Bombyx mori: one gene and its partner. The protein of the gene in region 1 binds, or shares a complex with, the protein of each later gene. Links are inferred from orthologs where the notes say so. Each region holds a gene or a part of one and is shown on either strand. Other genes may lie near its edges.

The links.
Region 2: the proteins of opioid-binding protein/cell adhesion molecule homolog (region 1) and zwei Ig domain protein zig-8 are in contact, whole or in part, in a crystal structure (PDB 6NRW), measured with the Drosophila melanogaster proteins. The link is inferred for Bombyx mori from reciprocal best matches to the Drosophila melanogaster genes DIP-eta and dpr1. Residues at the interface, in NP_001188701.2 of Drosophila melanogaster: Tyr72, Lys73, Val74, Ala75, Leu77, Arg78, Val79, Thr81, Gln82, Thr83, Ile84, Ile87, Ile92, Thr93, Lys94, Asn95, Met124, Gln126, Ile127, Asn128, Thr129, Asp130, Met132; in NP_001286645.1 of Drosophila melanogaster: Asp82, Lys83, Ser86, Ile88, Lys90, Asp92, Leu93, His94, Ile95, Ala98, Tyr103, Thr104, Ser105, Asp106, Glu136, Gln138, Asn140, Glu142, Lys144.

What each region holds. Positions count from the first base shown.
Region 1 is NC_085115.1:7,130,730-7,138,103, reverse strand, and holds the start of opioid-binding protein/cell adhesion molecule homolog, read right to left. Parts: upstream 4,932-7,374; 5' UTR 4,613-4,931; coding exon 4,486-4,612; intron 1-4,485.
Region 2 is NC_085134.1:6,086,630-6,093,210, forward strand, and holds part of zwei Ig domain protein zig-8, read right to left. Parts: intron 1,964-6,581; coding exon 1,753-1,963; intron 1-1,752.

The DNA.
Region 1 (7,374 bases):
TAACTTAACTATTTTTTTTTCTACGTAAATCTATATCTAAGTGTTCACGAATAACTTCCTGGATGAAAGAAATATCGTGTACTTTAGTCAGACTACTAATATTTAGAAATTTTCGTAATAAGTACTGATTACCATCTTGCCTATTTATACCGTGATGCGTTCACTCTTTCCGTTTTGAGGGATAGAACAGGCGTTAAATGCAATAAAATTTCGAATTCAACCTCGTATATCAAGATGGGCTGTTGGATTTTCTCATTTACCATGAGCTCCGAGCCACTTAATAGTTTGGAATCAAAAGTCACTGTGGGTGTGAGTTAATCCACAGTAACTCCTAAAAAAGAAACATTTTAATGAATTATTTAGCAAAGCGAGTATTACAATGTAATTAATCTACGTTCAGAAGCGGACGCTCTGTGCCTGACATGATGAAAGTAATGGTACAAACCTAAAGCACATCGACACATTCAGCATAAAGCAAAAATAAATTGGTATAAATATTGTCGATATCCTTGTTCGTGAAACGAAAAAGAAAATGTTTGTCATTCTAACTTCGTATAAAAGTATTGAACATAATAAAAATCTTATCTATGTAGTCCATAAAGTGTCGGCAGTATCGAAACTTGATAAATTGCTAAATAAACGCCACAATAATGGAAAGGAGGTATATTGTAAAACTAGGCTTGTTGAACTTCCGACACTGTCACTGACAAATTATGAACGCACCCTAGCGTTTCCCCTACCTTACTAATTGACTGCACGTCAATTTTAGCCTCGCTATATAATTCAACTACAAGGTAAACTATTTTGAAAATTTAACATATTTTAACGATCCGTTAAATATATATAAATATGATTTATTTATTGAGAATGATAGTATCTAATAATTCTAGAAAGTAGAAAAAATATTAAATCTATAATTTTTGGGCTTGAAATAAAGTATCAAAACTTATTTTAAGTATACATACTTGTATATTTTAAGTGTTTTTTTAACTGTTCAGTAGTATTTATATTATTATTCATTTAATTAAAATAACAGTTATTAATCACAAAGATCGCATTATAGTTCGACCCTTACAAACTGATATTCACGGAAGCCATCCTCTTCGATATCGCGAAAGCGTTCGACAAAGTTTGGCACAAGGATTTGAGTTTTAAGCTGTGCAACATGAGCGTGCAGGACAGTCTCGTGCTCAGCCTTCTTCTTATCAAACCGCTCGTTTTGGTACCAGGCTGGAAGAACTCGTTTATCCCCACCTAACCTTAGCTAGTCTACTACGCTACTGTTTATCTATCCATCAATGGTGCCCCCGGTCACCGCCGATCCAGTTAGCCCTCCTCGCCGATAACATGACTGTTTATTACTTCACTAGGAGAAATATGTAATTATTTGCGAAAAACTTCAGATCACAAGCGGAACCCTAGGACCGGTTCCGGAAAAGGCTCACCGAAGTAGCCCTGTGAATCTACAAGCGGCATAAAGTATCCCTCTGATATATCCCCCTGTAATCTGACATATAATATGATCACCCTGTAATAAGGTGACACTGTACAAAACTTGCATACATCCAATCGTGGCCTGTCCGAGTTTGGTGCCTACTAATGCGGTCCGCGCCTTCATAAAATCGCACCAAATTTTACAGTTTTACTTCTTCAGGATAGCTGTCGGAGTATCGTTGTATGTGAGGACTTTCACGTCAACCTAGGTATCAAAACCTAAAGTTTTAAATACTCCCAGTCAGCAGAAGTCAGAAGCTTGGCCTAGAATAGCAATATATTTTCGTTAGTGTCATAACATCATGAAAACCATCATCATAAGCCACGAACATCATCGAGAAATAATGAACAACTTTTTCTGAGTATTACACTAGGGTACTGCGTTCGCAAGGGGCATACTGGTAGTAGGACGTAATGAGTTCATATAGATGAGTGCCACCATCTTGCCTATTTCTTCAATATAGAAATAGTAATGCGCTCCATACAGCCTCTGTACAATACAATTGAGACTTCAACCTGATGTCCTAGGGTGGGCGGCGGCATTCACGTTGTGATATCTGTAAGCTTTGGTAACCACTTAGCACCGGGGCCGCAAGCTAAAAGTTCAGCGTTGGAACGCTACAACTCGACACGATAACCCTCTTATAATGGCCGCCATCAGCTAAAACTTTGGCTCACGTACTAGAGATGTCCTGAAAGATCCACCTGGTCCGCTTTCAGTTCTTCCTAGCATGTACTGCCTTCAAGCTGTTAAGCTTCCTTCGGAGACAATGGAGCACCTGTTGGGTAATCCCACACCTTCTGACTGATCCGTGCTAGCCTACCTACCCTGGTAAAACTGGAACGGCATCTAAGCCCCTAGAAATCCTTCCATGCAAAATCATCATCTTTTCTGAACAAATCAGTACTGACACGAATTCCACGAGATACAATTGCGGGGCATGCTACAAATCCGCGCGGCCTAAAGTCATCTACTGCAACCACGGGATCCCTGTCAGATTCGATATTTTTATCGAACCTATTTAATGTATAAAAGCATAGTATAGGGTGTATAAACATATATAAATATATTATATGCTGTTTAATCTTTAGATTTTTAGTGAAAATTTCGATATCGTGTGAGTCCGCGTCATTCGAGTTTTACGTCCAACGCCTACAGATCCGATGACCGTTTGATAATAAATGGGCCGTGACACAATTTCGTTAGTATTCAAATGTACGAATCTTTTAAAGAACTAATTAAGTCGATTGACTCAAATTGTGCCGGCTTCCAGCTAGACAACAATGTGTATCATTCTCACCAATTAGCTATCTATATAAAGACAAGACAACAGATTTAATCAGGTTCAATGTCGTTACGTGTTACGGCTTAGACGGGACGATTAGACAAGCAGAATAATAAGCTGCGTAGTACTTACGTATCTCTGTTCTCTGTCTAATTCGCGTTATTTGCATTGTGAGGAGGGTGTAACAGATCGGCTAATGAGGTCGTCGGATAAAAACTCAGAAACTTTGTAAGGTTGTGTTGAATTGTTGTTGTTTTAACTTTGCTGCAACTTCGGGTGAATTGAGATAGTGCGAGCATGTTTATGAGTATATAAACAAACAAATTATGTACTTAACTATAATACATGTAACATTTTAATAGAATAATTTATAGAGTAACCAAAATTGTTTTAGAATAACAACTATTCATTAAAATATAATTTTCCTCTAAAATTCAGTACGATACGAAACATCGTAGAAATCAATAAAAGATATTTCTGTTTTAGTTACTTACTGTCTAAAAACAATCGATTTTGAAAAATGTTTAAAAAATATTTTTTGTGCAAAATCGTTCAATAATATTGGTTTTTACTATTTAACAAATCAAACCTCAAAGTTAACCGATATATTGAGTTAAGAGTACATAGCTCAGACAGTTATTTTATAACATTTTAATAGTGCTGTGATGCGTTAAAAAATGTTCATAACTATGAAACTTGACGTAATAGCTACTTTTTTTTAAATATCTACTTAGCTTAAAGATTGAAGACTACAATTTAAAATTAAAAAATACTAAATTTCATTTTATACATTAAATTTCATATATAATATTTGTAATAATGAGAATTAATTTTTGACTGATTTAAATTAGCAAACGGGCTCCACTCCAGTAACCGTCCTCGTCGAACCCATCGTTTGCGACGAAGGGCTCGACGAGTAAATTAACTCATAGACACAGCCCACTGAGTTTTTCGCCGGATCTTCTCAGTGAGTCGCGTTTCCGATCCGGTGGTAGATTCTGCGAAGCACTGCTCTTGCTAGGGCCAGTGTTAGCAACACTCCCGATTTGAACCCTACACGTCAAGGAGAAGCTGAAATAGCCTCTCGAGGCTATCAGCATAAGTAGGATAAAAAAAGGGCTCCACTGTACGCCTGGTTAAGTGGTCACCAGCGCAGAATGCTGCGATCTACCTTAAGGTCAGAGTATTGCATTTTGCTATTATTTCATAACTATTTACACACTCTTCTCACAAATACGCCCTACCATTTTTTTATAGCCCGTGTAGGCAGACGAGCATACGGCCCACCTGATAATGGGTGATTACCGTCGCCCATGGACTTCAGCAATGCCAAGCCGCTGCCTACCGTTAAGCGCTGCCTACCAGTGATTAAATTTCAACTTACTTGTATTTGTACTATCTTTTATTGTATTAAATATTATATTTTAGGTACCCGATTGTCCGAATGGCACTTACAATTTTATTTTTCTGATAATTAAAATATAGACTTACATAAATGAAATATTTCTTTATTTATTTATTTATTTTATTATTATTATTATTTCATTCATTCATATTATTATTATTATTTCATCATTATTATTCATCATACATATTTCGCTAACATTAGCCGAAGAATTTAATAAGATGCGAAAGATTAGTTTGGTTTCTATTTACAAAATATGAAATTAAGATTTAAAAATGGATTAAAAAGTTCAGTACTTACGCAGCGTGGCATCGGTCGTTGTTGTCAAAAACCAATCGAGCACGAGCAAAGCTAGTATAACTTTTCCGCTAGCTGCCAACGTGAATTGATTTAAGTTACCCATGACATGAAAAATATTAAAATTCATACTTGAATATTTTTTGTTGTGTTCTAGCGTTAAGCAAAAAGAACTAGAAAAGTATTATTATCGAAACCAAAAAGATATTTTTCGTAAAATTAATATCACGAATTAATAAATTCAAAAAAATAATAACTCATTTAACACAGTTCCGTTAGAGTCGTAAAGAAAAGATTATAATACAATTTTCACACACGAAAATATAGAGTACGCTCTCGATCGATGTCAAAAATAACAATAATATTCGAGATTACGAGAAAAGTTTTTGTCCTAGCCAAAATGTAAGAGCCGGTACACAACCACCGTCCTCGACGGCTACAAGATAACTGATGCAGGGCGTTTGCACCATTGCCCTCTGAAAGCACCACCCCTAACTATATTGCCGTCCTTTTCGTAAAAGGTAGGCATACGAACAGTTCACAAAACAGCCTTCGTTTTATGCTTCTTATTTTGATATACTCGTTTAATTTTGATATATTAGATATGGTGAATATATAACGCCTCATTTGGTCAAAACAAAGATAATTTAAAAGAACAGAGGTAAAAAAATCTTAATATTACCTTTGGAAACAAACTTAACAGTGTACAGATACAACAACCCTTTAAACAATACAATTTTGTACAATTCTCAGTTTATTACGTGTGAAAATTATATTAATATTTCTTCATTTTAAACCTAATTCTGGAGCCAAGGCCGGTACAATAAACTGTAACAGAATACTGAAACTAAAGGATTCTCCTCTAACTAGTAACATAATAACTATTAACAATTTAGCAGAAATTGTTCGAAACGATCTTCGAAGGTTTCAACTTTCGTTTGGTTACTTGTGAAATTCGAGAAATTACTTCCTTAGTTGTGCTTGGTGTTATTGTATTCATATCACGCGGTAACCGCACTGCCACGCCGGAGGGAAACCCCACGAATGCCCCAACATTGAAAATTGATTTTTAATGAACAGGTTTTTAAATGGGGAATATGCATTAGAATTACTTCAATTATGTCGTTTTAGACTTTAATAACATTTATTTCAATCGCCTCATCCCGTTAGAAGTTAGGTTAAACAATTCGCTAACTATTTCCATTAATACCATTCTAACGTTGTATTTCTGAGTGAATGGTTGAAGAAAAATAATTCAAACCTTCAAATTTATAAATCTGGTACACCGAAATTGCAGAGAATACTTAATTCAAAAAGTAACTAAACCACGTAAACATTTTTTTTAAGTTGTTCTCTTTCAGTAAATCTCATAACAAATCTACAAGTTTACCATCGCTCTGTAGCCTTCCGTTCTTTCAATTAATGTATTTATGTAATAGCTATTAGTCTATAACCATTTTTTTTAGTTCATTAATAGTAACAAGAAAACACTATAACTCCTCCATTGCAGTTAGTTGGTGATGCAATTATCTGCAACTAAATACACATAATCAAAAACCTTGACAATTTTTTTTTTCAAAAAACTCAACATAACTACTAACCACACAAAACATTACTTTTATTTCTTTAAATGCTTCCACGTAAATTCCAACGTACTTATAATTTATTTTACTTCCAGGTAACTAATGTCCGTCTAGGCGGCGCCATAGATTGAGTTCTGCGAATAGAGGGGCCTTTCCTTGCAACTCCCCTAGGCCACCCTACCCTTAGACCACTATTAATATTTATACTCGCATACGTCAGTACTTCACCTTTGCCGTTGCACATCGATATTCTTCAAGCGCAAGTCAGCATAAAGAGGAAACCTTTTGCTGAAATTTATCAAAACTAAAATGTATTGTTGTATCTTCATTCATTAAATTTTTCTTACTACAACAAACTTCGCAGATCACTAATGAATGACCTTAGTAACTATGATTATGATATTTAAGTACCGACTTATACTAATCTCTAAGCAACGGTCCATTTTGATCAGACGATAATTACTAAGAACCTAATATATTATCATTATCTAATAGACATGTCTACGCTAATGTACAACGCAGGATCATTTCAAAATGACAAGGGGCAAAATATTATCTTACGTCTCATATCGAAACGCATAATTTACTTGTGCAAAAGTAGCATCGATATATTACCACATATTACCGTTGTAACTATATTTGAGACCTTAGAACTTATATCTCAAGGTGGGTGGCGCATTTACGTTGTGGATGCCTATGGGCTCCAGTAACCACTTAACACCAGGTGGGCTGTGAGCTCGTTCACCCAACTAAGCAATAAAAAAAAAATACATATCGATGAAAAGTAGGGAAAACAGTGGCGATATTAGCACCACACAACCGGCGCAGTAATGTTTAATAATATGCACTTTTAAGCAAACTTCCACTTTTAATAATACTTTTAAGGCTATTTGATTAAAATTAATCATTTAAAAAATACAAATAATACTATAATACAAAAAATTATAATTGTAGTTAATACAAATGCGAGTTATGATAACTTTGCTGAGCTTCAAAAAATAAATTGATAAAATCGCGATTCATTTGCTGTTACCATTGCATTATTTAATTGGATTAACCCATAATTGTAATTGAATATTCCTATAATTAGCGTTTATTAATAAAGGTACTTTTATTTAATAGCATATCGTGAAATTTAAAATTAAACTGGTTATGAATACTTTTCCAATTCCTGTAAAGCACAAAGTACTTCTTTGACAAAAGAAAACGTATAGTGACTCATGGAATAGAATTTTAATATGAATATGAAAGAAGTCGTACAAATGTCACAGCTCAGTCATAAGTCATAACAGTTCAAGATTCTAAGCAG
Region 2 (6,581 bases), on another chromosome or scaffold:
TATTATAGTATGGTAGAACGTGTTTCATTTTAGTTGCCCCACGACAATTGTGTAAGCAATTTGTAATATACACCACGTATCCTTGTCAAAACTTTGAAAGTACTTTGTTCTAGGAAACGGCTTTATCAGAACTTTAACACAATCTTGTTTGCTAAAATTATTATTATGTAAATCTAAGGCGATAAATAGCAAGCTACAAGTTTCCTAAGTTCTTGTTAAATTCCTAAGTTTACTTGTGACTTGTCGTCAAACACATCATTCTCCCTAAGGGTACATTCACGCTTAGCGTATCGATAGCAGTTTGTATTTCGATAACTTTCTTGTTTGTAATTCACTTAGACATTTAGTCATACATTATAAAGCTAAAAAATTATCTATCTTAAACAAATACGGATGTATAGAATATTAATGCAACATTTGATAAGCGCGTAATAAGAATATCGAACCCATTGAAGGCTATTATTGATTTAAAATAATAAGTTTGAATAATATTATATACAATTATTTATTAAATTCTATTTTCAATGTGGTGTATCGACCAAATCAGAACCACTGTGGGAAATCTGTAGCCGTATAGCCTTGTAAGATGGGTGAAATTTGCTCCGTCCAAAGCTACATAGACGTTTACGATCACTCTATCAAGAAGGATATGATTAAGAAGAAGTAGTATTATTTAAATTGCATAGATATTTTGGTGCAATTTGTTAAGCTATTACCATAAGTAAGAGAGCAGTAGTCAATGAGGCTATAGCCTAGAGATCTTGCTTAAATCGCGGAGTTGGTCACTGTAACCAACTGCGGAAGAGATGGGGTTGGACGGAAAACCAAAGCTGTGAATGCAGATGCCCAGAGCAAACTGTACGCCACATTGTCATGGAATGCTCAATAACGAAATTCGCAGGCCAAGTGGAAGATCTCAAAAATGTAACAGAAGAAGCTATCGATTATTTCACAAACTGTAAATTTAAATTATAACCACGCCTAGTAAAGGAACAAAAAAAAACGTCCAAATCTTGTGGTACAGACACAAAAATGTATCAGATAAAACTATTGGAGTCTCCTCTGTAAATTTATTTACGATCCAGGAATCCCGGACATATTTTACATCAACTGCGAATGTGGTTTTAGTGCCAAACTTTGCGTTACGAACTTAAGTTTGTGCTGTTAATGGTCCCAGATTTTACTAAGCTTTATTGGAAACTGTCAAGGACCTTGTTTAGATTAATTATCAGGGGTTACTAAATACTCAGATTAAATTCTAGTTTGTCTCCTATTTTGTTAAGAGTAACATTTCGATATTAAAATTTTGTTGTTCTATCCTTGACTTATAAGATTGATGAAATTATTAAAATTTGTACTTACTCTGTTATTACTTTTTTTAACAAATTTCTGTATTATTCAAACAGTATTCGTGTGATATTGATTATGTCAATATTAAAATGCAATAGGTAAGACAAACTGATCAAAATTTATTAAACAAAACATTAATATGTTTATTAACTAATTTCATACGTCATGAAGATGCAAACGAATGTGTTGAATACGTGGCGATTATTAACTCCACTCACGGGAGGCGGCGGTGACTTTTGTGCTCTCGCGAGACCACAGACCTGGCAAGTTCTCTGATCTGAGAGTTACATTAGGTAAATAATAAAATAAAAGAAAAACCTCATTGGATTCGTGATCTGGCTCTTTTTATAAATAACGTGCCGCATCACTACGGATTTTTTTTTTTTTATATTTCATACTGACCAACGACATTAAGTTGAAATGCCAAAGACATCTTTGGTTCCGTGTTGACTTGGCACTCGTATATCCCGGCGTCTCTCTCCTGTGGGAATTTAATCTGCAGTGTCCAATTTTCTGACTTCTCAGGCCGAATAACCTGGAACCTCTGGTCGGATGTGTAAGTCAAAATCCCAGCCGTGAGTATGTGGAGATCCCTCTTCCTGATCCAGCTGACCTGCAACAAAACTCTTGTTACTTTTAGGCTTTTGAACACTACACTAATTAAATTATCTGAGATATTGACGTGACTGAGATTTTACAATTCACAGACATTTTTCATGACGACAGAAATTACAAAACAAAGTCAAGAATCGACAGCTTGAATTTTACCATTTATCCTGATATTAAACAAATAAAAGAAACACAATATGTTCCTAAATTAAAATCAATATATTCGTTGTACCCTTGTATGTAAAATCTGTGGGTGTGACTGCGTGTAATTAATAACTATTACATTAGACGCCTTAAGCTCTAACATTAGGAGCAGGCTTAGGGACCCTAGTAACCGTACTCGTCGAACTCGGCAAAGAGTTCCATGTGCAACCTAACCGATGCATCAGCTCGCTGAGTTTCTCGCCGAATTTTCTCAGCGGGTCGCGATTCCGATCCGGTAGTAGATTCATTCGCGAAGCAGCTGCTCTTGAATTATTAGATCTCCTTTAGAGGCATTCGGGTAGCTGTTAGCCAATCGCACCCCTCCTGGCTGAATTTTTGTTCGCCGACCTGTCCTGATGAAACTGGAAAGGCCTCCGGGCCTCCATTAATAAAAACACTGGAGTATAATGGATCCTATCTTTTTGTGAAGCATCGATTGATGTGTATGATATTTTCTTCTGGATTATACAAGTACAAGAGAATAACATTGTAACCGGTTTTTAGCCGAGCCGAAATACGAGTTACAATGTTACTCCTTGAATGTGTCGATGTTTATGGAGAGCCGATCTCGCATTGTTCTAGTATTTTGCAATTAATTTCGGATCCATCTAAAATTTGACTGCTCCGTTGGTCTTCTGGTCCATCTTCTGGTCAATCAGAGTCAGTAACTTTATTAGAGATATTAGAGAGAGAGTAATCGTCATCCGAGTGTACCATTTCTGCATTTCATCTGTTGAATATAGAACGTAAAAATATTTTATGATCCATCCATCAGTCATTAACGGCCGTCTGGTGTAGTGGTAAGTGACATGGTCACTACACAAGGGGGTCGCGGGTTCGAATCCCGCCAAGGGAAGATATTTGTATGATAAATATAAATGTCTTTTCCAGGGTTATGGATGTCTATTAAATATATGTATGTGTATAATAAAAATCTTACATTTATATCCGTTATCTGGTACCTTTAACACAAGTTCTTTACGAACTTATCACGGGACCAATTAACGTGGCGTGACTGTTAGTAAATATTTATTTATTTATTATTGAGATCATTGAAGAACATACGAGAACATACATTGAAGAACGCCGTTATCTTATAAATCCAAGTAAAAAAAAACTTTACAGACATCTAAAAAAATGACAATGTATTTTTTAAAGATATAATAATGCTAAACAAAACGTCAAAATGCTGTGAGACGAGACTGCGAGTTAGTTGAAACTATTGTGTTATTATATTAATGGAATGTTTAAAAAGTCATCAATCTCTTGTAAATTACACTCGCTTTGATGTTAATTGTTTTATAAAAATAAAAGACCACTTTGTGTTTTATTTTAGATGGAAATTTTTCCAAGAATGCTAGCTTTTTCATGGATTAGTTGTAATTAAAGTGAGCGTTCAGTTTTGACAAATTAGTCTCATTTTAACAATATGATATTAGATTGTTTTTACAGTTTTTGCTACTCCGAACTGAACGTAAAAATGGCGTAGTATGGATTTAAGGATATTAAAAAGTGTTCATGATAATTTTTTAGTCGGCATCAAAAGACAGGCAAGGCCAACTAGCCCGATACTACATAAGTGAATTATGACATGGCATCATGGTGACAGCCAAGTATAATTTTAATTTAGCTTATAAAATAATCATTCTTATACGATCTTATCATTCATATACATAATAATGTATTACAGAAACTAACTAAATGTAGATAATTAATTTTATCGAAATACAATTTTAAGCTATATTATACCACACTTGTTTTGATAAAATTAATTACATGCTGAAAATGAGTTCTGTAATCTAATGTATGCTGTTTTCAAATAATTATCCATTTTATAAAAATAACTAGTGCTGCTTAGTGAATCTTTGTAAATGCCTGACTTCCAAAGTTGCAATTATCAATTTTCTGCCAAAGACGTAACGGCCAAAATTGGCCAGCTAGAAATCGGTATGCAAAAATGAGGCCATTATAGATAAAAACGTATTTAGTGATTTTTTGCAGTTAATGAGTTTGTGGCGACTCACTTACTCGCCACTACTTGGGCAACCGCCTTACAATTCGACGAAATCGCTGTCGCTTATGAATTCAGGCAATCATCTATTATTGTTCAACACTTCGGAATCTTAAGAAACTGCGGGCAGTACTCATCGATATTTGCTGTGCTACCCATCGTTCGTGTCAGTGCTTTACTACTTCTTTAAGTTAATTCTTTATCGTACCACTCTTGTCATAGTTTATTTGTGAATATTGCTATCTTCAATAAACTATTCAAAGCAGTACATATTCATACTCACTGTGTAAAACACCCTTCGTGTCAGCGCCTACCTAATACAGTTAGAAGCAGAACTAATACAACTACTTCTACAGTGGTGACCCTCGACAGCAAGAAGAACCGAAGATAAGTGGATTAAATGTATAATTAATTATCATCATATACATTATCGTTTTCGGCTATCACATTTTTGTTCAACAAGGTAGACGCAAAATATTTTTAAGTTCTTGCAATAAGCCGACGATATATCTTGTAATTTATAGACATATACCTCATCGTTAACATACTATTACATGTTATTCTATTCGGGCAGGAAAATGTACTGGAAAGGTACTCGCATTGTGTTACACTACTATGGGTTCAAAGGCTATAAATGTCTTGCTTCGAAATTCTGCTCGTAACAAAAACGAATTCCAGGTTGAAATTTATAAATTTTGTGGATGGCGATATGTATAGAACCCGAACGCATGCCTGTTCGCTAACATCCTGATTATTTCAGCCCCATAAATCCAATAAAAGTGAGACAACGACCTCAAGTATCAAAAGGCAAATGGCATACACTATGCCCATCTACACTTTATTCACGAAATATGTACATATATGTTAAATTTATCGGCCTGCTCAAAGCAAACACTTGGATAGACAGAATAAAATATGTTAAGGATGAAGCGCTTGACATTATTCTAAAAGGCAACGATGCCGAAACTCGACTGAACATTCTCAAAAATATATTTCGTATTGCTGTATGAGAAGTGGAAAATATACGCTGAAACTTCAGTGTGACAGTTTGGACAATGACAAAATCTAAAATGTATTACGATTTTGGAATTTTCTTCTCAAGAGCTTTGGACGGTTTGAAGAGAGACATGAGAAATTCTCAGACACTTCAATTTTGTTTCTACCTTCCGTTAGTTTTATTTTTGTTTCCATAAATATTTTTATAGTCTAGCTAGTGTTTAGCAATTACCCAGGAAAATAAATTGTAGAGGAAATAGACATCTTCATAAGGTTTAAGTCTTGGGTGAGGTTTATGAAGCGGTTAAGCCTGCGTATGTGTCCTTACGCTACGATCATGTCATGTGGTTTGTTAAATATGTCCGATGAAGATCTTCCACTGCGGCAGTCGAGAATTAACTTTGAACGCTCCAGTGTCTACATTAATAAATAAGTTATTCTATTATTTAGGTACATGAATGATTGCTTTAGAACAAGAAAAGGTAAATAATTCCTAAAAATATTCCTTTTTTCAATTAAATTCAAGATTTTTGCACCGTTTTTTTTATTTTCCATGTCATGTTTATCAGATTTGGTTGTGTTTGTAGTATCAGTGAAACCAAATAAATACTTTAAATAAGTTACTAATCTGGCTTAATTTCACGATAATTATATTAATGACAATCAAAAAATTAAAGAAAATACTACTAAAAATCTAGTAACAAGCTTTGGTCGTTCTAAATTTTAAAAGTTTACTGTGTTTTTTTTAATTAAAATCACTGATGAAAGCAAACTACTAGGGCAGCTATATTAAAATTTAAAGCTCTCAATAACACAGAGAAGAATATTTTTATTATCAATTCGAGCGATAACAACAGAGAATAAAAGATACAAGACAATAGTCTATCCATTAGAAGCAGGCGGAGCTTAATGGATCAAAGCGCTTCCTTTATGGTTCTATACGAGGTTAATCTCTGTTTAACACTTTCAATAATAAAAATTACGACTTTTACCTTTAAGTATTTAAACGTTTTTGCCTGAGCTTTTGGAGCCGAACAACACCCTCGAGCTAAGCTTTATTGCAAACAAAAATAGAAGGCAAGTTAAAGCACAGACTACAAACATTGTTCACAAGAATATATAATCCGAAAATCGTATACGGATATCTTGGACCAGTAGTCAGGGTACTAACCATTAGACCAACTAAAACAAAATTTAGGCTCGCAAGGATGGCTCGCATTACCTTCCTATTTTGGCCGCGACACGGTCGTGCGTTTTGGGTGGACAGATAAGACAGCCATAATACAAAACAGTTGAACTACGACCTTATCAATATGTCCAATGTAACTATTTAAAACCAGGTCAGACATAACGTCAGCAGATGTAAAACTATAAAGAAAATTTTATGTACTAATAAATATACTTATAAATC